3 linked regions of the Rattus norvegicus genome follow. The protein of the gene in region 3 purifies or fractionates together with the protein of the main gene of each other region. This does not show direct contact. Links are inferred from orthologs where the notes say so. Each region holds a gene or a part of one and is shown on either strand. Other genes may lie near its edges.

The links.
Region 1: the proteins of Canx (region 3) and Pgrmc1 purify together in Homo sapiens (affinity purification with mass spectrometry; 3 studies listed by BioGRID and IntAct, with this or other methods). This does not show direct contact. The link is inferred for Rattus norvegicus from reciprocal best matches to the Homo sapiens genes CANX and PGRMC1.
Region 2: the proteins of Canx (region 3) and Tgfbr1 purify together in Homo sapiens (affinity purification with mass spectrometry; 3 studies listed by BioGRID and IntAct, with this or other methods). This does not show direct contact. The link is inferred for Rattus norvegicus from reciprocal best matches to the Homo sapiens genes CANX and TGFBR1.

The regions. Positions count from the first base shown.
Region 1 is NC_086039.1:120,695,536-120,703,284, reverse strand, and holds the start of Pgrmc1 (membrane-associated progesterone receptor component 1), read right to left. Parts: upstream 4,676-7,749; 5' UTR 4,576-4,675; coding exon 4,248-4,575; intron 707-4,247; coding exon 551-706; intron 1-550. UniProt on the Homo sapiens protein: Component of a progesterone-binding protein complex. Binds progesterone. Has many reported cellular functions (heme homeostasis, interaction with CYPs). Required for the maintenance of uterine histoarchitecture and normal female reproductive lifespan.
Region 2 is NC_086023.1:66,446,498-66,454,072, reverse strand, and holds the start of Tgfbr1 (TGF-beta receptor type-1 precursor), read right to left. Parts: upstream 4,676-7,575; 5' UTR 4,594-4,675; coding exon 4,509-4,593; intron 1-4,508. UniProt on the Homo sapiens protein: Transmembrane serine/threonine kinase forming with the TGF-beta type II serine/threonine kinase receptor, TGFBR2, the non-promiscuous receptor for the TGF-beta cytokines TGFB1, TGFB2 and TGFB3.
Region 3 is NC_086028.1:35,131,756-35,138,725, reverse strand, and holds part of Canx (calnexin precursor), read left to right. Parts: intron 1-2,228; coding exon 2,229-2,418; intron 2,419-4,770; coding exon 4,771-4,884; intron 4,885-5,529; coding exon 5,530-5,686; intron 5,687-6,970. UniProt on the Homo sapiens protein: Calcium-binding protein that interacts with newly synthesized monoglucosylated glycoproteins in the endoplasmic reticulum. It may act in assisting protein assembly and/or in the retention within the ER of unassembled protein subunits.

The DNA.
Region 1 (7,749 bases), on a different chromosome or scaffold from region 3:
CCCCAGCTCCGGAAAAAAAAAACAAACAAAAAAAACAAACAATGCAGACACCATTGTTTGCTGGTCAGATTATAAGCAGCATTTATAGATGAGGCCTAATTTATAGTTAGGCTACATCAGAGTCAATGAGAAGCTGTTTGGCAGAACACAGGTTTCCCATTCTTCAAGAGAGCTGTGGGCTGCTTTTAAACAGTAAGTGGGACGAGAGGGCTTATGAAAATCCTTCTTCCTGTAGGCAAAAGGGCCACTGTCCTTTCCCCTACATGCTCAAATGCTAGTAGTATAGAATCTATATACCTTCATGCAAAAATGCACACATCAAGATCAAAAGCTCGTATGTGTAGAGGACAAGCTAAACTCGATACGCCATCACAGCAAGTGACTCAGCACTGCCTCCATTCCTTTATGCCACGAACTTGACCCCTCCAAGATTCAGGAACCTAATCAAAACGCGCCCAATTTCAGGGTGCTTAGTAATAACTAGTGTTTGATCATAAACCTGCACTACTGGTGTAAATTTGATCCAGGCAAAATATAATGAAATGCTTACAGGTGAACTGAGAGTCCCAGTCATTCAGGGTCTCCTGCTGGGCAGGAGTGAGGTCAGAAAGGTCATCATACTCATCCTTCAGTGCTTCTTTGTCCAGGCAAAATGTGGCAAGGCCCCTGGATGCATCTCTTCCAGCAAAGACCCCGTATGGCCCCTCTTCAAAGACAAAATGAAACCAAAGATATTTACTAGATATATACACCTCTGTGTCTCACATGCAAAAGATGGCTTCCTTGCTTTCAACACTGAAAGCCTCCTTTTAATTCTTTTTTGTTTGGTGGGTTTTTTGAGACAGGATTTCCGTGTAGCTCTGGCTGTCCTCAAATTCACAGAGGTCCATCTGCCTCTGCCTCTGCCTCCTGGGTGCTGGGATTAAATGAATATCACTTCCTGGTTTCCTATTCCATTCTTAAGCTACATGTATACTGATGCTTTGATCATTACATAAAGGATGTTGACAGACTTCCTGTCACTTCAATAAGTAAAATGAAATTAAAACGTGTAGCATTTGAAATCTCCTATGTCCTGCACATAGCTAATATAAGCATAAGTGATTCATTCGGGGGTGGCCTTGAGTGTATAATCATCAAGGTTTAGAATTCAGCTCAGACTTTGTATCTACAGGTTAGCTCTATTCTAGGTGCTTTAGCCAAGGCAGTCAAAAGTTACGGTTTCTTAAACACTAATGTGTAAATGAAAACATTTCCTTAGCAACACATTCTGATGTGCTTTAAATGATCTTTGGTTTCAAGACATGAACCGTAAGGCTTCTGTAGGAGCAATGATTTTACAAATGTCAGTGGTTCAAAAACCTACCCACGTTATATAACCTTTACTGTCAATCAATAAGAACAAGGGAGATCAGGTTTGAACTGTTTTTTTTTTTTAAGTATAAGCATACAAATAAGAACCAACAGTGGTGAAAACACTAAAATCTTCCCTGAAAAAGGCTGCAATCGGTGCCTTCAAGTAATCTCATAAAACCTGGAAAATGCTATTATGTACGTATAACATCATAGCAAGGTTTTGTCTGAGAGCAGTGGATCATTCTGAATTCACCTAAAGTGTTTATTTAGTGTTAGTTAAATATGGCACAAGCAAATGAAAAGAATTCAGGGTACTTTAAACAATGCCTCGTTTTCCCAAAAGTAGGCTGGAGAGCAACTCTGACCTTAAAATCATTATGTCAACTAGCAGAGTGCCTGGTATTTGGTTACTATCTGGTGATCTGAAACTTTAGTCCACCCAACTGCTTTTCTAACATATTCAATTTTATGATCCCTTTTCTGTAGGACTCAGTCTTTGCATATTCTAGGAAAGCACCCTACTGCTGAGACATACTTCAAGCCCTTGGGATCAACTTGTAAATGCAACTAAGATTCTAAAATGGGGGCTGTTTTCATTCCTCATTGCATACTGCCACTAGAGAAGATTTAAAAAGAAACGCATTCACAGGCTTTTCACTAAATGTATACTGCTAACAGAAAGAGTAGCACCTCGTGCTTTTGGAAACAAGCAAACTGTTTTGGTTTGGACTCTTAACCATTTTAGAAATTACAGTTCCTGGACTGGTAATGCCTACTTAAACAAGATCGAAGGCAAATATTAAGTCTTTAGAGAATAGATTTTGTTCACTACAAAGCATATTAATTAGATGCTTGGTGAACAGAGCTCTATGTTGTTAAACTCACACTGTTACTCCATAGCACCCACAATGGTGCTGTGCACATAGTACTAGACACCCAAATGACTTGATTTTAGGTGTGCTCTGTACCAGAAAATATTTCCACTATGATGTCATTAGTGTTCCTGAGCCCTTTCAATAATGGAGAGTAGCAACTCGGGCTCCTCACATTGGGGTGTGCTTGCCTTTTTATTTTCCCAGAAGTGAGGCCTTGAGACAGCAATGTGTTGCGCCAGATCACACAGCTGGTCAGTGACAGACAACATCTAGGCTTGAATGTAGAGTGCAGGTTGACTCCTAGTTGGAGCTATCCCTGTATACACAGCCATGTCCCTCAGGATGACTCTGCAAACTATAACCTACCTGGTTAGAATGGAATGGCCTCCAGCCGTGCTCTCTGAAAGCACCGAGGATCCGTGTGATGACTTTGCAAACTACAACCATATGCCGATGCCTCATGCCTTTGTGTTGATTACCTTAGAGTTTAGCTTAATAATTATGGGTATTTACACGATTATTTATGGATAATGTGCGAGTACAGTGACAAGCAGTTTTCCCATTGTTTTGCAGTTACATGCCTACAGAAAATAGATTTTCTAAAATGTCTGAAAGCAGAAATGAAGGGCGAGTGTTCGCTAAAAGCCTTCTGCACATGTGATTTTGATTGGCTGGACTTTGGAGACTTAATGGAGTGGGTATGTCTGGTTTGGATTAGTGCTGACTAGCCTTCCCTCTCAGACCAATGAGCATGTGAACACACCCCCTGAGTTCCTAGTGCTTAGAGGAATCCATATTGGAAGAGCGAAAACCTCTTCTTCCCCTCTAAATGTTCTAGAAAGCAGGGCTTTCCAAACCTGGCTGATTTCCCCACAGGAGAGTACTAAAACATAGATTATTTTTTAGCTCTCTCCCCTCCCCCAGAGAGGTAAGTGTGACTATGGCTGGTCAGGCCAAGAATGTGTATCTTTTCACAAGCATCAGGTAGGTGATTGTGATAGGCAATCCAGTTTGGAAAAACATCTTTAGGGATCCTTTCCCACAGTTCACTAGTGGTCCATGCCTTGTTTATCCCCTGGTTGGCTTTTCCTGAAATCCCCCCACCCATCGGGCTTCATGGCCTTACCCTATTGTTTCTTAGGACCCTCTCAACCCTCCCTTCCAACCCGGCCCCTGGTTTAATTTCATTTTATTTTTTTCCACCTCCCAGTCTCCCCACCCTAACCCAACACTAAATATGATGTTTCTGACCATCTCACCATCTTACCATGGTCCATCACACTCTGCTCTTCTTAATGCATCCTCAACTAGTCTCCTTCCCTCCATCAAGCTTGTTTGCTTGGTCATCATCCAGCCTCAGTGCACTCCACATAACAAGCATATAACACATACCAAAGGCATACCTAACACATGTCACATTCCAAGCACCCCCCCCACCAAACGGTGTACACCAAACACACTCACTGCGCATGCACAGTGTAACACACACACACACACACACACACACACACACACACACACACATTCTCCACCAGGAACAATGCTTCTTTACCTGACACTAATCCCCTTCTCCACTTTCTCTCTTTGCACACCCTTACATTCCACCATGGCTCCTTCGGCGTCATCGGCCTCCACGTCTTCTCAAGTGTCTGGGCCTCTCTGGAGACACCTTCCTTTTTTTTTTTTCAAACCCGAAACCTCCCCGTCTTTTCAGGACCCCCAATCCAAAGCCCAAAGCCCGCTACCTTCGAAAACTTCACCAACATCCCGGGCCTTCGAGCCTTGCTGTCCCTCCCACCCGCGGTTTCCAAGCTTCAGCCTCATTCGGGCATCCCATCCCCCCGTAAGCACCTCCCACCCCCAGCTCCTCTTGCCCCGGGCACGCTCCCGGAGCTCCCCGCCTTCCCTCCGACCCTCCCAAGGGGGCGCCCCACCTCCCTCGGTCTCTCTCCCGCCCCGCTCCCACGCCAGGGTCCCCTCTTTTGTCTCCACGACCCCCTGGCCCTGCCTCCGTACCCGGCCCATAGAACTTGCGGCCTTTGGTCACGTCGAACACCTTGCCGTTGATGGCCATAAGAATGCGCGGGTCCTGGACTCCATCGTATCGCCTTAGTTCGGCAGGGGTGAAGTCACGCGGCTTGAGGCGGGGCAGCGGGGGCGGCTCGTCGTCGTCGTTGTCCCCACTGGCACCGGGCTGGTCCCCGCGAACGATCTTGTAGAGCAGGAAGATGCAGAGGCCAAGGAGCAGCAGGTTGAGAGGCGACGTGAAAATCTCTTGAAGCAGCCCGCCGCCCTCCAGCTCGCTGGGGTCGGCGCCAGTCGCCACCACATCCTCGGCAGCCATGATCTCTGGAGCAAAGGTTGGGCCCTGCTATGCAGAGATCCGGAACAGTCGGCTTCCTCCGCCCTCTAAGCGAACAGTGGCGCGCAGCGTTCAGTGGCTCTGCAAGAAAAGCCTCGAGAGGGGGCGGGGCCTCGAGGGGCGGAGCCTCTACGCCACGCCTTCGCGGCCACCTAAGCGCCCCGCCCTGCTCGGACTGGCTGGGGCTGGCTCCCGCAGTCTCGACCTCAGCTTAGGCTCCTTAGCCTGGGGTCTTGGCCTTTCTCCCTCAAAAGCTCTGTCATTGTGGGCCACGGAGCCCAGCCCACCTCTCCGTTCTACCTGCTGGGCCTGTTCCGCGGTTTCACGGCTCGCTCTGAGCGTAGTGCAGTTCACAGACACACAGTTCAGTCTCCTGGGTACAGTGGGTAGCTTCCAGCCGACCCTGTGGGAGAGCCTTGCCTCTAGGGCTTGCTCCTGGGGGCCTGCTCCTTTGTTAAAATGGGGTCGCATTTCTGTTGCTTTGCTTCCATTTTAAAGCCCCTATAGTCTCTCTCCTGGCCGAACCCTTAGAGCCAGGAAGCTGTTTTAGGATACTCAAAAATCAGGCCTTCAACTCCTTTTCATCTTACAGACCTAGACTACTCAAATATCCATTTTGGGATGGTTCTCCTCCAATTCTTGCCCCAAAGCTGCAGAACTAACTAACACCCGAAGTACTGCCAGTCAGGTAACAGGCCTGCCAACACTTTAAAACGTGGAGCTCAGATAGCCAGATTTGAGTTTGTTCTTTTTTTTTTCCCTTTTGCAATCATCGATTATGCTTAGTCACAAGGCATCAGCAATCAGCCACTGACATTCTGTTGTTGAGCTTTTTTTTCTATAAAAATACCAGAATAATGTTGAAAGTTTCTCTGCTTGACAGCATTCTTCTATCTGAAGTTTGTGGAAACTACCTTTGGAGTCATGGTAACCCTGAGCATAGTCCCTGATAAATGCTGGAGTTTGGAAGGATGCTAGGTTTTATCTTTTGAGATACCTAGGCCTCTGGTATGCCAACAGGTTACCTGGGAGCAGGCCTCTATGGAACAAGAATTGCACCTATTTTTCAGAGACCTAATCTGGCTGTACCCCACCCTTTAAATTGTAATTGAGGGAGGGTAACAGAAGAAAAAGGAGAGTAATTAAAACCAAGCCATGCAACCATCTGCAGACCAGAGCACTACTTTCCCATAGAATCCTGTTTGTCTGTGCATAGTTTACCACCACTATTTACATGCAAGAGATTTGTGCTGAATACTGGCTAAATTCTGAAAAATTTTGGCAAAGACTGATTTAATCCCTGCTGCCCCCCACCCCATCTTCTTAAAATGTAATGAGCCAAACAATCTTTATATCCAGCCCACACATTTTTCTCCAGAGCTAAATTTAGGATTAGCTAAACCGGCCCCTCCAGATCTTTTGTCAAAACTCTTCAACTTAATCATCATGAAACAAGCTCAAACTGAGAGCACTCAGGTACAGTTATAATCCAGTTATCCCTTTCACAGAGTCCTGTGAGCAGCAGACATTTCTAAAACAATAACAAGCTCGTGAAAAAATATTTTCATTTGAAACTAATAGGGCAAAAGAATTCTGTCTTGAAGTGCTCATTTCAATTGATAGGAAAATCGTTAAGGGACTGGGGAAATGGCCTAGTGGGCAAAACACACTGGCATGCAAGTGTGAGGACCAGATTTCCAATCCCCAGCACCCATAGAAAAGCCAGGAGGGGTTGGCAGCTAGCCTTTAATGCCAGAGCTGGAGAGTGAGCGGCAGGCTAGACTCTCCTTTGCCCTGATACTGAGGTGGGAGTAATCAAGGAAGACACTATATACTTCAACCTCTGCCATCCACCCAAATGTACCCCCCACACACACATGCACACTCAAACACAGACCACACGCACAGACATGTAGCAAAAAAAGAAAGAAAAGAAAATCATTAGTAAAATCCTCTAGTCATAATGGAAAAAAAATGAGGAAGTATCAGTGGTGAATAAAAGCATATAAAATGTTCAGGTTTGTTCGCAATTTAAAAATACACAGAAATAACGTTGTCATCTGCCATCTTTCTATAGGACGGGAATAAAGAGCAGAAAGGGATAGCATGCTGGCAGGAAACTGAGCATGCTCCCATACACCAACATTGGCATAAGCTTTTGTTAACCATAAGTGTTTTCAAGAAACCCACTTCTAGAAATAGAATTTTTGTCCCAGTAATCCACTTCTAGGAATCCATCCTGCTTAGAATGAGGACCAAGATTTCATTAGGAAGATGTTCGTTACACATTCATTTTTAATATGGAAACTCTGGACACAACCCAAATGTCCAAGTTTAAATAAAGTGGCTAATTAATTCACTTATATCGTGATAAAATCATAGTTGGACTATTCAAACAGCACACACCATGGGAAAATATTTACATTTCAGTATACAGGGAGAAAATAGTGTACAAAACTATATACATTGTTAATTCCCTAAAATTACTTAAAGGGAAGCCTGAAAGGAAACACGATAATGTTATTAATTTTTCACAAGTTGCACATAGCACTTTACCTTCCTTCCTTCCTTCCTTCCTTCCTTCCTTCCTTCCTTCCTTCCTTCCTTATTTCCTATCTTTCTTACCCTCCCTCTGTCTTTATCTCCTCCTCCTCCTTGTTCGTTTCTCTATGTAACTCTGGCTGTCCTGGAATTCAGTTTGTAGACCAGGCTGGCCTCGAACTCAGAGATCCACCTGACTCTGTGTCCAGAGTGCTGGGATTAAAGGCATGAGCCATCACTGCCCAGATGCACAAGTCATTTTAAGCACCTGAGAAGATGGTTTATTTTATAAATAAATAAATAAATAAATAAATAAATAAATAAATAAATAAATAAATAAAACATATACTGTACTGGCTGGTTTAGTGTGTCAACTTGAGCTGGAGTTATCACAGAGAAAAGAGCTTCCCTTGAGGAAATGCTTCCATGAGATCCAGCTGTAAGGCATTTTCTCAATTAGTGATCAAGGGTGGGAGGGCCCATTGTGGGCTGGTAGTCTTGGATTCTATAAGAAAGCAAGCTGAGCAAGCCAGGGGAAGCAAGCCAGTGAGTAACATCCCTCCATGGCCATCAGCTCCTGCTCCCTGACCTGCTTGAGTTCCAGTCCTGACTTCC
Region 2 (7,575 bases), on a different chromosome or scaffold from region 3:
TTCAGTTACTCGGAGGATTCTCTATGGTAAACAGAAATGATGGCACACCTATGATCCCACTGAAGAGGCCAGCATTTGTGAGCATCCCACTATCTTATTCCCTTGCTTTACTCACTTACATTACCATTCTGTCTCACAGGCACATATTACAGTGTTTAGAACTGGGGAAAAGATAATATAAGTTAATACATATATTATCTAAATAATATACTATAATAAATTTACTTTACTAAAGTAAAGAATCATTTGGCTTGCCATGAGGTTATTGAGAAAATAAAGACAAGAACTTTTAAAAAAAATTATCGAACCGTCCTCTCTGCCTCTCAAAGTTCTAGAGACCCTTCAAAATCATTTAGTCAGAATGAGTCCAAAAGCTCTCTCCAGTTACCTCAGTCTGTATTACCACTTCCCATCAAACTCTAATATGCTTCTCCACAAAAGGTGATTATTTAAAACACTTAACAAAAGGCACTATAAGGGCACTAGCCATTCAGAAAAGGTGTCTGAACAATCAAAACATAAGCAGCCTAATGGGCAGTGGTTATACACAAGGCCTATTCATTGTTAAAAACCAGAATTTCTTCAAATTTAAATACACATACCTTTCTCCTCTAATTTCTAAAATCTCAAGAATTATACAAACCAAGTATCATAAAATAGCTGTTTTGTTGCCACACCATGCAACTTTCTCAAACTATATATGTATGTATGTATGTATGTATGTATGTATGTATGTATGTGTATATATATATATACACACACACAACTCTAAATCAACATAGCATAATCCATCCATAAATATAACTATTCACACAGAATTCACTTAACACACATTTATGTAGAACAGAATCTAAGACAAGGTAGTAGGTTCTGAAGACATAAAGGCATAATTCGCCCCTGAAAACTCAATACAAACTCAAATAGTTAACAATTCAGGAGGGTGACAATGGATAACACAAACATGTAATGCTATACAGTTCCAAGAGATGGAGTTCAAAGAGAGGTACAATGTCAAGTCTGAGGTCTGTCTGTCCTCAAATTCCCATAAAAGAGATAAAATAAAGTATGCAGCAAAGACTGAAGAGTCAGGAACTAGTGGGAAAGCAGCTATCATTAGAAACGGGAGTTTGCAGTCCTGAGACATCTTTCAAGTGGAATAATTCTAATTCCTAACCTCACACAGGAAACCTTCAAACCTCATGGACAGTCCAGGATAGTTTGGCATCTGTTAATACAAAACCCCCCATGACAGAACACATATACTTAGGGATAACTGGCAGCGCTAAGCTGGGAGTTGCTCAGCAGGAGTGGGGAAAGATGTTAGGCATTTTCTCCAAGAAAATCCTGAAATTGCTGGCAGCAAACAGCATTCTAACACGTGATGCAATATAAACAGAGTAATATTGTATACTTGTCCAGGGATAAGGAACCAATTTCTCTACAAAGATCTATATTGGAGAAAACAGAAGCTAGCAGAGAAATATAAATAACACTCAGACAGTAAAGAACAACTTCAAGTTTTAAGAGAAGATCTGCACTTCTTCAGAATATATAAAGGGCCACACTGAAACATCAACCTAACTCAGTGAGTCAAGGTGAACTTATCTAGGTCTAGCTTCCTATTTTTTGGGGGGGTGGGAGTGGGGTTGAGATAAAGCCTCTATATTCTATAGTTCTGGATGTCCTAGAACTCACTATATAGACCAGAATCTGTCTGCCTCTGCTTCTTGAGTGCTTAGTTTAAAGGCATGAGTCACAAGGCCCAGCAGGTCATAGCTTCTTTTTTTTCTTTTCTTTTATTGGATACTTTTTTATTTACATTTCAAATGTTATCCCCTTTCCTGGCTTCCCCTTTGGAAACTCCCTATCCCATCCTCCCTCCCCCTGCTTCTATGAGGGTGCTCCCCACCCACCCGCTCCCCTCCTGCCTTCCCACCCTGGCATTCCCCTACAACACTGGGGCATCCAGCCTTCACAGGACCAAGAGGCCATAGCTTCTTAAACTGAATCCTAACTCCTTATAGAGGTGCTGGGTCATACAACAATCTGGCAATACTCAAGGACTTCTGAATGTATAACACTCCAAATTAATTAAAAATCAAATGAGTAATGAATCTGAAGTGTTTCTGGCAATGCATGCTTGTGTTACATGATGCAACTTCACAACACCCTTGGTTCTAAACACACTTGCTGTCGTGTTATGCAGTGCTAACATTTATTTTTATAAGTTTTAATGTTTTTTATTAAATAAAAAGTTTTCTATTCTTCCAGAAACATACATACAGAAAAGGCTTTCATCCTTCATGTATATCAAAGTGGTATATTTGTGATCGATTGTAGATCGACTGTATTGTGTTAGAATGTCTGATTTTAAAAACTGCTGTTTAAGTTGCTGACTTAAATTTCATTTTAAAAATTATTAAATGAGGTCTGGAGAGACGGCTCAGTGGTTAAGGGCATCGACTGCCCTTCCAGAGGTCCTGAGTTCAATTCCCAGCAACCACATGGTAGCTCACAGCCATCTGTAATAAGATCTGATGCCCTCTTCTGGTGTGTCTGAAGACAGCTACAGCATACTTATATAAATAAAAAATTATTAAATAAATTTCATCTTGTGATTAAGAGAGAATTTTCAACAATGTCTGAAATGGCCCTAAACAATTATATGGAGTCGTTGGCATTGGATGATTTAATTCTTTAAGTAAAAATAAACTCACCCATCTCATTACTATGAAAATGTGCTTGAATCTTTAATAAATAGTAAAATTGTATGTACCAATGAATTGTTTTAAAATAATTTCATTTATGATCTATTATCAGCACATCTGAATTATATACTTGCTTTCTACATTTTGTACTCAAGGTCACGTACAATCTTTTGAGAAAAGAGGATGGCAAACGGGGAAAGTTTATGAAGTACTAGTCTAGGTTTTGAGTAATAAAATCCTCCAGGACACGGACCAACCTTCTCAGCATCTAAGTCAATACTGCTAAATGCATGAACGTGTCTTGCTTTGTTTTAGGTAGAAAAGAATTACTTTATTCAAATAATTGTAGAGATATGGCCACTTATAGTTGGTGAATAATTATAACAATTCCCCCACTTTGTCCACCGTTATTCCCTTCCTAAGCCAATGTCAAAAACCCATGGTATCTTCTAATGAAGACCTTTGTGAAGGGAATGTTCAAGTACTAGGTTGTTCAAGTTCAAGTAAACTAAGAAACTGATGGCTAAGTTCTAAGTGTCAAATATCAACTGTTCTTTAAGTGGGCTATGCTACGGTATAGCAGGTGCACTGATTTTGAGCCCAGAAAGGCCTAAGTACAAATTAATTTCTGCACTTACTAAGAACGTAATCTCCTGCACCTCAGTTTTCAAGTCAATGTACAGGACAAGTACTGGTAGCCCCGAGGGTTCTGTGCCCCGAGATACTGTGCCTTTTACATCTGCATTATAATCAACTCCCAATAAACAGTTACTATTAAGTTTAATAACAGCTGGCATCCACAGTCTGGAGAGATTTTTGTTTTGGTATGCTTTGCTTTTTAAAATGTTATCCAATTTCAGCAACAGACATGTATTTTCACTGTATTTTAGTTGCTAATCTGAGCCTCAGTATTTTGCTTTCTCCTATTTTAATCGGTTCCGGACTAAGTTTTTCAATCTTCCCTCCACGGGGTGACAACCGTATCACGGCCGGTTTTAATATTTTGGAAAACTACACATTTTCCCTTCAAAAGCCAGCTACATAGAGGTCTGATTTTAAGACTACTGCTTAAGGAAACGATACACCCAAAGCAACGATCCCGTCGAGAAAAAGAAATCTTTGATCAATTCTACAGAATCATTCCCATTCAAACGATCCCAAGTCTGCAGAGTGAGCAAACGTTCAAGTTTCTACTAGCAAGGCAATCTTCTGGTTACTGAACTCTCAACTCTTCCCAGACGCACGAAGAGAGAACATTCCGCGCATCTTCGCGCCTGCTTCTCACACAAAGCCCCCGGTTGAAGAAAAGTCGCCCTAGGCGGGCGCCGACACTCACAGCAGTGCGGCCCACCCGGGATCTCTGCCCACGGCGCCCCTTACGACCCTCCGAGGAGCCCTCCACGCGCCGAGCCCCGGAGCGCCTCCACGCCGGTGCCCGCCCACGCCCTAACAGTCTCAGGCCGGAGAGCACTTAGGCAGTGGAATCAGGGGGCCACGGTCCCCGCCGGCCTCACACCCCCGAGGGCAGCCACAGACCTCAGCAGGCTCGCCAGCCGCTGCTCCCGGGAGCCCAAGAGGGCAGGCCTCCGCTCGGTGTTCGGCCACCCGCGCTCGACACCGCCCCCGCCCCGCCTCTCCTCCCCGCCCCGGCTCGCGTGGCGCCTGCCGGGTCAGGAAAGCTCGGCCGGCCCGGCGCCGCCACCTGCGCCCCCGGCCCCGCGCCATGTTTGAGAAAGAGCTGAAGCGAGCCAGAGGCCGGGCCCGGCTCGCGCGCCCCACAGCCACCCGCCCGCCACTCACCCTTCGCCCCCGGGAGCAGCGTCGCCGCCGCCACCAACACGATGAGAAGCAGGCAGCGACGCAAAGCAGCCGACGCCGCCTCCATGGTCCCGCTGCCACTGTTTGTGGCCCGGCCCGGCCCCGGCCTCAGCTTCTCCTCAACAAGCCTCGCCTCTCCTCGCCCCACCTCCCCGCCGCCGCTGCGGCCTCGCTCCGGCCCTTTGTAACTGCTCGAGGGGCGCACGCCCATTGGCTGCCCAGCTCCCGCCGACCCCGCCTCCCCCGCCGCCCGCGAGCGCCCTAGAGGGACCCAGCGGAGAGCCCCGCCCTCGGGGCCCCTGGGCGGCCAATGAGCGGCCCTGGACTTCTGCCTCTAACCACGCCTCCGCACTGCTGGGCCTCTGGCCACGCCCCCTCACCGCTGGGCGCCTATACTCCAGCCACAGCAGGGTAGCTCGTACTCTACCGGCGGGTGGGGGCAGGGTCCAGCCTGCGCGCCCGAGGGAGCCCGCAGTCCGGACTAAGCGCTGGGTGTGCCCGTAAGAGTTGCTCAGGGAAAGACTGTGGACGTTGCTCGCTCTTTTCTTCTACTCCAACCCCACCCTGACTTTCCCTGCACAGTCCTGCACCGGCAAAGCTCAACTATCGCCACTCCGACCCTCAATACGGTCCGCGGTTCAACTTCTTCTCCCTAGACCCGCTCCTCAATTCCCAGCCTCCCCGCAAAGATAACCCGATTTCTTCCCGCACTCTATGGCCGCCCCAGACCTAGTCTTGCCCTCCTCAAATTCCAGTCCCAAAGTCGGAGCCCAGATTCTGAATCCCGAGGCGGAGCTCAGACACACCCCTGAGTGGCCTGTGTCTCTCGGCAGTATAAACAGACTGTGGGTCCCCGCCGCTCTCCTTCCCTCCCACCTTCCTGACCCCGCGTGGAAGCGGAGAGGCCTACGGGTTTTGAATGATGGGGGATTCGGGGCGAAGCGGGAGCAGTCATAGGTACTTAGAGCTGTCTCCGACACGCCTGTGTAATAATTTCGAGGTGTCACTAAAAACCCAAATAAACTCAGCTCCGCTTTCATTCTGAATTCCTAATTTACTGTGAGACGCTCCACCCACCTTCCCTCTGGGATGCCAAAATGAGCTCCAGATTTGTAATTCTTCCTGTCAGACTAGTCCTTTCTTCAGACACAAACACAGTCACGGAGGCGGCCGCATGGCACCGACAGCATTTTTCCGCAGAACCTTTTAAGGAGAAAATTTTATTTTCTGTATGATTTGAACTCGGAATTAAATGAAGCTCGGTAGTAGGAACCAGCCGGCCTCTAGTATCTGTTAGTAAATTGTTTTACAGCCACTCTCCAAGAGTTTGATCCTGCTTATGAAAGCAAACCGTGGGGGTTAGAGCTGGGGTCTGAGACTGCTTCTCGGCTCCAGCTAGGACACGCTTGAGCAAGTCCTAACCTGCCAGAACCTGAACAGGCCTGCTCTCTGGGACTGCAGAACGATCAGTTCCTAGCTCCCCTGCACCGAGGCTACAGAGACTAAATTTGACTAGCTTCTAAGGCAATCTCTCTGAAAGACTTAAAGGGGCTGTCACACCCGAAATCTCCAGTGCCTATCCCCGCCTCACCCCCACCCCCAAAGCCTTGTACTTCCTCGGCAAGTACTCTACTAATAGCTAGGCAAATACTCTCTACTGATAAGCTACGGCCCCAGTTCTTGTTATTTTTTTAAAGATTGGGTCCAGCTCCTATGTGCACCACGTGCATGTAGTGCTTGTGGAGTCCAGAAGAGGGCGTCCAATTACTTGGAACTGGAGTTGCAGGTGGTTGTGGGCTACCCGACAAGAATGCTAAGAACAGAACCACTTCCTCTGCCAGAGCAGTCTCTTAACTATTCACCCATGGCCCCGGCCCCCAGCCCTTGTTTTTTACAGACAGGATCTCAGGCTAGACTGAAATTTGGAATCCTCCTGCCTTAGTCTCCCACCTCCCCTCCCCCAGGGCTGGGGTTACAGCCACATGCCAAGATGCCCCTCCCCTCTTCTTTTTCTGATCTAGTCTGTGCCTTGCATAAGATCTCAAGAGAGTTTTTATTCTATGCATGAATAATTAATCTCATAGGAATTTTTTCCTCTGGTTATCTTTAATGGGTAGCAAATATTAAAAGCACCCATCCCGCTCATAAATGGGACTAAAACGCAAGTCCAGGGTTCCTTGGTGACATAATGTGTCTGGAGCAGTGCTGGGATGCAGTAAATATTTAGTTAATGCCATTTACTTCGCCCAGCCCCCTTGCATGATGTTAACCTTGAATCTAACCCAATGCTTTGCCATATGAAGCCTGTACCGAGCAGCACGAGGATTCTTTTTTCCTGTGACACACTTCCGAGTCCAGGACATTTTCCATGGAACTAAGTGCATTCACTAGGGAACCGAGGAACGGGAAGGAGAAACAGACAATTTTTAAATTACATCTTGCTGATATTAGGAGGAAATTTCCACAAGTTACGGATCTGAAAATAAGTTGTGTCAGAATAGAACAAAAACTGTCCGTTTAAACTGCAGTTTTTCAGGTGCAGATGTCTGGGTCTGGGACACCTGCTAAAGCCCCTCTAGAGGCAGGCCAAGGATCTGCATTGTTAATAAACTCAGGAGGTTCTCCTGCACAGGGCCACTTCAGAAGACCGCTTAAACACAGGAAAATGAATGAGCCCAAGTGGGTTGAAGGGTTGAGCCACGGAATGAAGCCTCCAGCCTTGGAGACTTACAGACCCTAGTGATTCTAGCATTTTCTAGATATGGGTATGGGACCTGCCTGATTTCTACTCACTCCCTAACTCCAACACTCATTGGCCTTTTGGCACCCCTTCCCCACAGCTACACACACACACACACACACACACACACACACACACACACACACACACCCCTCCCGCCCACTTTCCCTGTGGCATAGTAAGAATTATCTCTCCTCTATACACAGTTTTGTGGTGAGGCCTGAGTGGTTGGTTGCCCATAGGGAGTCAGTCACTAAAGTTCATTCCCGTCTTAGTCTCCACAGATTCTCAGAAGGCTCTCAGGGTGCT
Region 3 (6,970 bases):
AGTGAAGACCTGGAAGTGAAAAGATTTTTTTTTTTTTTTTTTTTTTTGGTTCTTTTTTTCGGAGCTGGGGACCGAACCCAGGGCCTTGCGCTTCCTAGGCAAGCGCTCTACCACTGAGCTAAATCCCCAACCCCAAGATTTTTTTTTTTTTAAGATTTATTTATTTTATTTTATACAAATACAAATACAAATACACTGTAGCTGTCTTCAGACACACCAGAAGAGGGCATTGGATCCCATTACAGATGGCTGTGAGTCACCATGTGGTTGCTGGGAATTGAACTCAGGACCTCTGGAAGAGCAGTCAGTGCTCTTAACTGCTGAGCCATCTCTCCAGCACAAGTGAAACGTGTGTGTTATATGTCTGCATGTATGCCTGTGTACCTCTTGCATGCCTGGTGCTGAGATGTAGGAAGAGTATATTGATGCCCTAGAGGTAGAATTTTAAATACAGTTGTAAGCCACCATGTAGGTGCTGAGAATTGAGCTGGGTCTTGTGGAAGAACAGCTGCTGTTCTCAACCACTGAGCCATTTCTCTAGATCCTGTCAGTGTGGTTTGTGGGTAATTATGTGGAGGTCAGAGGACAACTTTGAAGATGTTTCTTTCCTGCCCTAATGTGGGTTCTTGGACTCTAACTCAGAGCACTGGGATTGTGTGGCACGTGCCTTTATCTGCTGCTGTAGTGTTTTACCAATTTGTATTTAAAATTAACTAATGTTATTTTGTGACAGGGTCTTGCTATGCAGGTATGTCTGTTCTAGATTTTTCTATATAGTCAGGCTGGCCTCAAGCTCAGATCTGCCTGCCTCTGCTACCCAAGTGCTGAGATTAAAGGCATGTACCATTACACAAAATGCTTTTTCTTTTTCTTTCTTTACTTACCTTATTCTTAAACTCCTATATAGCTGAGAGTAAAATTGATGACCCTCCTATCACCTCTTATCACCGTAGTGTTGAGATCACAGGAGAATGCCTCCTTACCTTGTAGGTCTTTATTGCTGTTTTGAGGCAGGGTCTTGTTGTATATGACCTCAAACTAGTTTGCCTAGCAAGTACTGATATTAGAGGTATGCACAATTACATCTTGCCTGTGTGTGTGTGTGTGTATGTGTGTGTGTGTGTGTGTGTGTGTGTGTGTGAGAGAGAGAGAGAGAGAGAGAGAGAGAGAGAGAGAGAGAAAGCGCGCGCACATGTGTATGCATGCGTTTACTCTGCTGGAACTGAAGTTAGAGATGGTTGTGAGCCACCATTGTGGTTGCTAGAAATTGAGCCTGGGTTCTTTGGAAAAGCAACCAGTGTTCTTTTTTTTTTTTTTTTTTCTTTTTTTCGGAGCTGGGGACCGAACCCAGGGCCTTGTGCTTGCTAGGCAAGTGCTCTACCGCTGAGCTAAATCCCCAACCCCGCAACCAGTGTTCTTAACCAATAAGTAATCTTTCACGCCCTTATTTATTTTTAATTACTATTTATATATATGGGTATTTTTTATCCATGTATGCCTTTATACAATATGTGTGCTTGGTGCCCCTACAAACCAGAAAAGTTTATCAAATCTTTTGCAACTGAAGTTATAGAAGATTGTGAGCAGCCATTTAAGTCCTGGAATTGAGTCCTCATCCTCTAGAAGAGCAGTTAGAGCTCTTAATTAATGAGCCATTAATTCAGGTCCTTTAACTATTTTCATAGACATGGACCAGGGTAAAAGTGCTTGTCCAGTGTGTACAAGACCCTGGGGTTTGAGCTTATTATTATTTATCATTTGTAGAGGCAGGTAGATCTCTGTGAGTTCAAGGCCAGCCTGATGTACAAAGAGAGCTTTAAGACAGCTGAGGCAAGACAGAAACCCTGTCTTAATAAAACCAAGAAAAGAAAGAGAAAAAAAAATCATTTGTAACTTCTAGGAACCCAAGGAAATGGCATTGGGGCCCTAGGCTCTTACAGAACTAGGCTTTGTTGACTATGACTTTTTTTTTTTTTTTTTTTTTTTGGTTCTTTTTTTTTGGAGCTGGGGACCGAACCCAGGGCCTTGCGCTTCCTAGGTAAGCGCTCTACCACTGAGCTAAATCCCCAGCCCCGACTATGACATTCTAACTCCAAGTACCCTGAACTCTGTTTCATGACTACCCACTGGGTCTCTCTCTAGAAGATATGATCTACTGTGTTAGATTGATGGAAATGTTGGAATGAGTGGTTTAGTCAGTATTTCTAATTGCATTTAATTTCTTTTAGTCTTGAATCCAGACAATAGTTTTGAAATATTAGTTGACCAGTCTGTTGTGAACAGTGGAAACCTGCTAAATGACATGACCCCTCCGGTAAACCCTTCACGTGAAATTGAGGACCCAGAAGACCGGAAGCCTGAAGATTGGGATGAAAGGCCCAAAATAGCAGATCCAGATGCTGTCAAGCCAGATGACTGGTAAATCTTGGAGATCCATCTTTGAATATTAGTTTACAACGTGTGTATTCTACATGGCTTAAACCACAAATGTTGATAAAGTGAGATACTATTATGTAAATACTCTGTGATATAGTCTAGGCATGTTAGCACATGCCTGTAATCCTAGCACTCAAGAGGCCAAGGCAGAAAGATTGAGTGTGAGGTAAGTGTGGACTACATAGTAAGACCCTATGCTTGCTTGCGGGGAGAGGAGGAGAGGGAACTTACATAATCTATTTTACAGGAGAAAAGTACCGATTACTCTGATGGAAAAGAATACAGTGGTAATATATATTATCCCTCACTAGGTTATAAACTACAGGGTGCTAAAGCTTTTGTGGTTTGTCTGTGCTGACAGGGTCAGGGTCAGCTTGTGGCAATCTTTTTGTACAGCCATTCTAGTGTTTCATTATTGCCAGTTAAACTGGGTTACAGTGCTAAGGATTTAACCCAAGTCCTCCTGCATACTAAAAACATGTGTTATATTGCTAAGTAACACTCCTACCACCCACATTGAAAGCTGTTAAAGTTCTTGAAATTTTTGTTTTTGAGACAGTTTCCTTGTGTAGGCTTGGGTTTCTTTGAACTAGACTGACCCTGAACTAACAGATCTCTCTGCTTCCTAAGGTCTGGGATTAAAAGCATTGTACCACCACGCCCAGCTCACCAGCTTTTTTTTTAATGGGATGAAGAGAGTATTGAACTTTAAAATATCAGGCGAAGTTACACGAAGCTTTGAGGTCATCATAGAGTTAATTTAAAACTAAGATAGTCACAAAACAGTCTCTTTTGAGGGAGTTATTTCTCAGTGTTAGAGGACATGAGGCCTTGAGTACGGTGCCAGGACACTAAACAGTACAATTGAGCACAAGTAGAATATTTTTGATTACCAGCTGAAGTAGTACTTTTATAGCTTCTATATGACAGTGGTCCCTGCACCATTCATTCCTGGTTCCTGAGGAGGCCAGAGGAGGAAACTGGAGCTATAATGGTTGTAACCTGCCATGTAGGCACTGGAACTTAAACTATGGTCACCTGAAAGAGCAGCCAGTGCTCTTAACCATCTAGCTATCTTTCTAGCTCCTCTGAGTCTTATTTTAGATGAGATACCACCTCCACCTCCATGCCCTGCCCCGCTCCCACCCCTTTCGGCCATGCACGCCTTTTTTAAAATGCTGTTTTCTGTGTAATCTAGGTTAATCTCATCAGGATTCTGTCTCAGCCTTGACAGTGCTGAAATTGCTGTATACTGCCATGACCATCTTGCGTACCTTTTTTGTGGTGCATAACACAGTGATGGTTAATGTATCTGCAGTGCTCTATGTACAGTGCTATCTAATTGTAGGGTGTTATCATGTACCCTACTGTCACTCCCTTGTCCCAGACTCTGGCTACCACTCATCTGCCTGTTTTCTGTTTCTGGATTTCTCCATTGAGAAATTTATCGAAATAATATTGAATAATAATATTTGGCCTTTGGCTTCTTGTGGTCAACATATTGAAACATTTTTATGACTGAGAAATACTTAATATACTATGCTTATCCATTTAACCATCACGTAATTGATAGATGTGTAGGTGGTTGCCCCTTTTTCAGATACAAACTTTGGGATGAAATTGTTATACAGTAACTTCCAATTTTGAGGAACTGAACCTTTCTTTTCACCAGCACTTATTTTTTATTTGTTTTCCCTCAGAATTTCTTTTTTTTTTTTTTAAAGATTTATTTGTTTATTGTATCTGGGTATACTATAGCTGTCTTCAGACATACCAGAAGAGGGCATCTGATCCCATTACAGATGGTTGCGATCCACCATGTGGTTGCTGGGATTTGAACTCAGGACCTCTGGAAGAGTGGTCAGTGCTCTAACCGTTGAGCCATCTCTCCAGCCCTCCCTCAGAATTTTTTTTTTTTTCTCGGAGCTGGGGACTGAACCCAGGGCCTTACGCTTGCTAGGCAAGCGCTCTACCACTGAGCTAAATCCCCAACCCCCCTCAGAATGTCTTATTGTAATGGCCTTCTATGTGGATGTTTGATAGTGTGGTATATTACCATGGTTTTAATTTATATTTCTCTGATGACCAGTGAGGTTAAGCATCTTCTCTTGTAACTCTTGAAGATTCCTGTAGTTCCATTAGAAAAATCTTTACTTGATCTTTAGCTGCTGTTTTTATTTGTTTCTTTGTTCTTTTTCTTTTTTTCTTTTGGACAGTAGCTCAGATAATGATTTATAAATGTATTTTAGAATGAATTAATCTTGGTTTGTAAAAAAGACTACCATGACTGATTCTCTGGCCTGGGTTATCATACCTGGTGTTTTCTGTTTTAAGGGATGAAGATGCCCCTTCTAAGATTCCAGATGAAGAGGCCACAAAGCCTGAAGGCTGGTTAGATGATGAACCCGAGTATATTCCAGACCCTGATGCAGAGAAACCAGAAGATTGGTGAGTTTGAGTTTGCTTTTATAATTACCTGTTTTTTTTTTGTTTTTAAAATTTATTTTTATTTTATGTGCTTTGGTGTTTTGTCTGCATGTTTGTCTTAAGTGTGTCAAGTCAGTTGGAGCTGGATCTGGAAGAGAAGTAAGTAAAATCAGGCATTTAATCCTAGCAGAGGCAGGCAGATCTCTGAGATTGAGGCAAACCTAACCTAGTCTACAAAGTTAGTTTCAGGACAGCCAAAGCTGCTGCACAGAGAAACCCTGTCTTGAAATCAAAGCAATAACTGCGTGCCCCTCTCCCCAAACAAAAAACAAAAGAAAAGAAAGAAGCTGGGTATAGTAATAGCCGCCTTTATCTCAGCACTCAGGCAGGTGGATCGCTGACTTCCAGGGGTACCAGAGAAACCCTGTACTAAAACCAAAAGGAAAAAGAAAAAAAGCCAACAGCCCAGGTTTGAGTGAAAAGCCTTACAAAAACTTTACGAAATTTCACTGTACAAAAACAAAGTAGGTTGTTAATGAAAGCTCATTGATATTGGGAATGAGAAATGAGAATTTGTTCTGTTGTATGCTGCTGATACAGCTCTAACGGCATCTTGAGAGCATAAGACTAGCAGTTTGTCTATATAACTTGTTTATATCTCCACAGGGATGAGGATATGGACGGAGAATGGGAGGCTCCTCAGATTGCCAACCCTAAGTGTGAGTCCGCCCCTGGGTGTGGTGTCTGGCAGCGACCTATGATTGACAACCCCAATTATAAGGGCAAATGGAAGCCTCCTATGATTGACAATCCTAACTACCAGGTTTGTGTCTCCTGATGGTTTAGGTGTTTTTGTTCATTTCTTGGTGTCAGGGCAGAAGTTTGATCAATAGTAAGACCAGCATATCAAGAAGAGAAAGTAAACTTAAGAGACAGGTGAATAATGGGCTAAACATAAAACTTAAAGACAGGCAAGAGAAGTGTTTGAACTTGTTGTGTGATTGTCTTAGTTTGGATTTCTATTGCTATGAAGAGAAACACCGTGACTAAGACATCTGTTACAAAGGAAAGTATTTAATTAGGGGTGGCGTACAGTTTCAGAGGTTCAGTCCCTTGTCATTATGGCAGGAAGCCTGCAGGCAGACACAGTGCTGGAAAGTTCTACATTTTGACCAGCAGGCAGCAGAATGGAACTGTGTGCCATATTGGGCAGAGCTTGATCATACAAGAACTCAAAGCCCGTCCGTCCCCACAGTGACATACTTCCTCCAATAAGGCCACACATGAGTCTATGGAGCCCATTTTTATTCAAAACCATCATAGTGACATTTATCTAAAAATAAAAGTAGAATAGAAGAACTTAGGGTATGTATACTCTATTGGTGAGTGCAGATTGGCCATAAGGGAACTGTGATGGGAGTCGAGACAGCAGATTGCTTGGTCTCATCGTTTTCTTCACCTGCCTAAGACAGGCGCACATGAAGTGTAGTAATATGTGTAGTGAGTTATGAAGCTCCACTTGTGGAATGTAGGTCCTTAATCTGGCTTCAGTTTCTAAACCAAAAAAGCTATAGGAATAGATTTTCACTTAGATTTTTAGATGTATGGTGGTACATCTATATGCATATATTGTGTGTGTTTTTCTGTTGTAAAATGGTTTTAGTTGTTCACTTAGATAACTGTTCAAACAAAAAAATTATACTTTAGCTTGCCATTTGGCTATCTGGATTTTTTTTTTTTAATGCCTATAATTCTAACATTTGGTTGTTGGCACGAGGACCAGGAGTTGAAATGTCAACTTCAGGTTTAACTAGGAAGATCAGGAGTAGTTTAAGGTATCCTGGGTTAGAGTCATTGCAGCTGAAACCATCAGATGTTTGTAGTCAGTACTTTTTTATTTGATCTTTAGAGCTAAATTACTAGTTGCTAGGTGAAGACTGTACATTGTATATTTTAATCACTACTGGGAAATGGGAAATGGCTGTACTGACCACATTCCACCATCACTTATTAAGGGTGGAGTGAGAGACATAGAACCAGGTGTTAGTATAGAACAAGATCCTGCAGATTGGAAATTGAATTTGGTGGTAGTCCAGAATTCAGTACA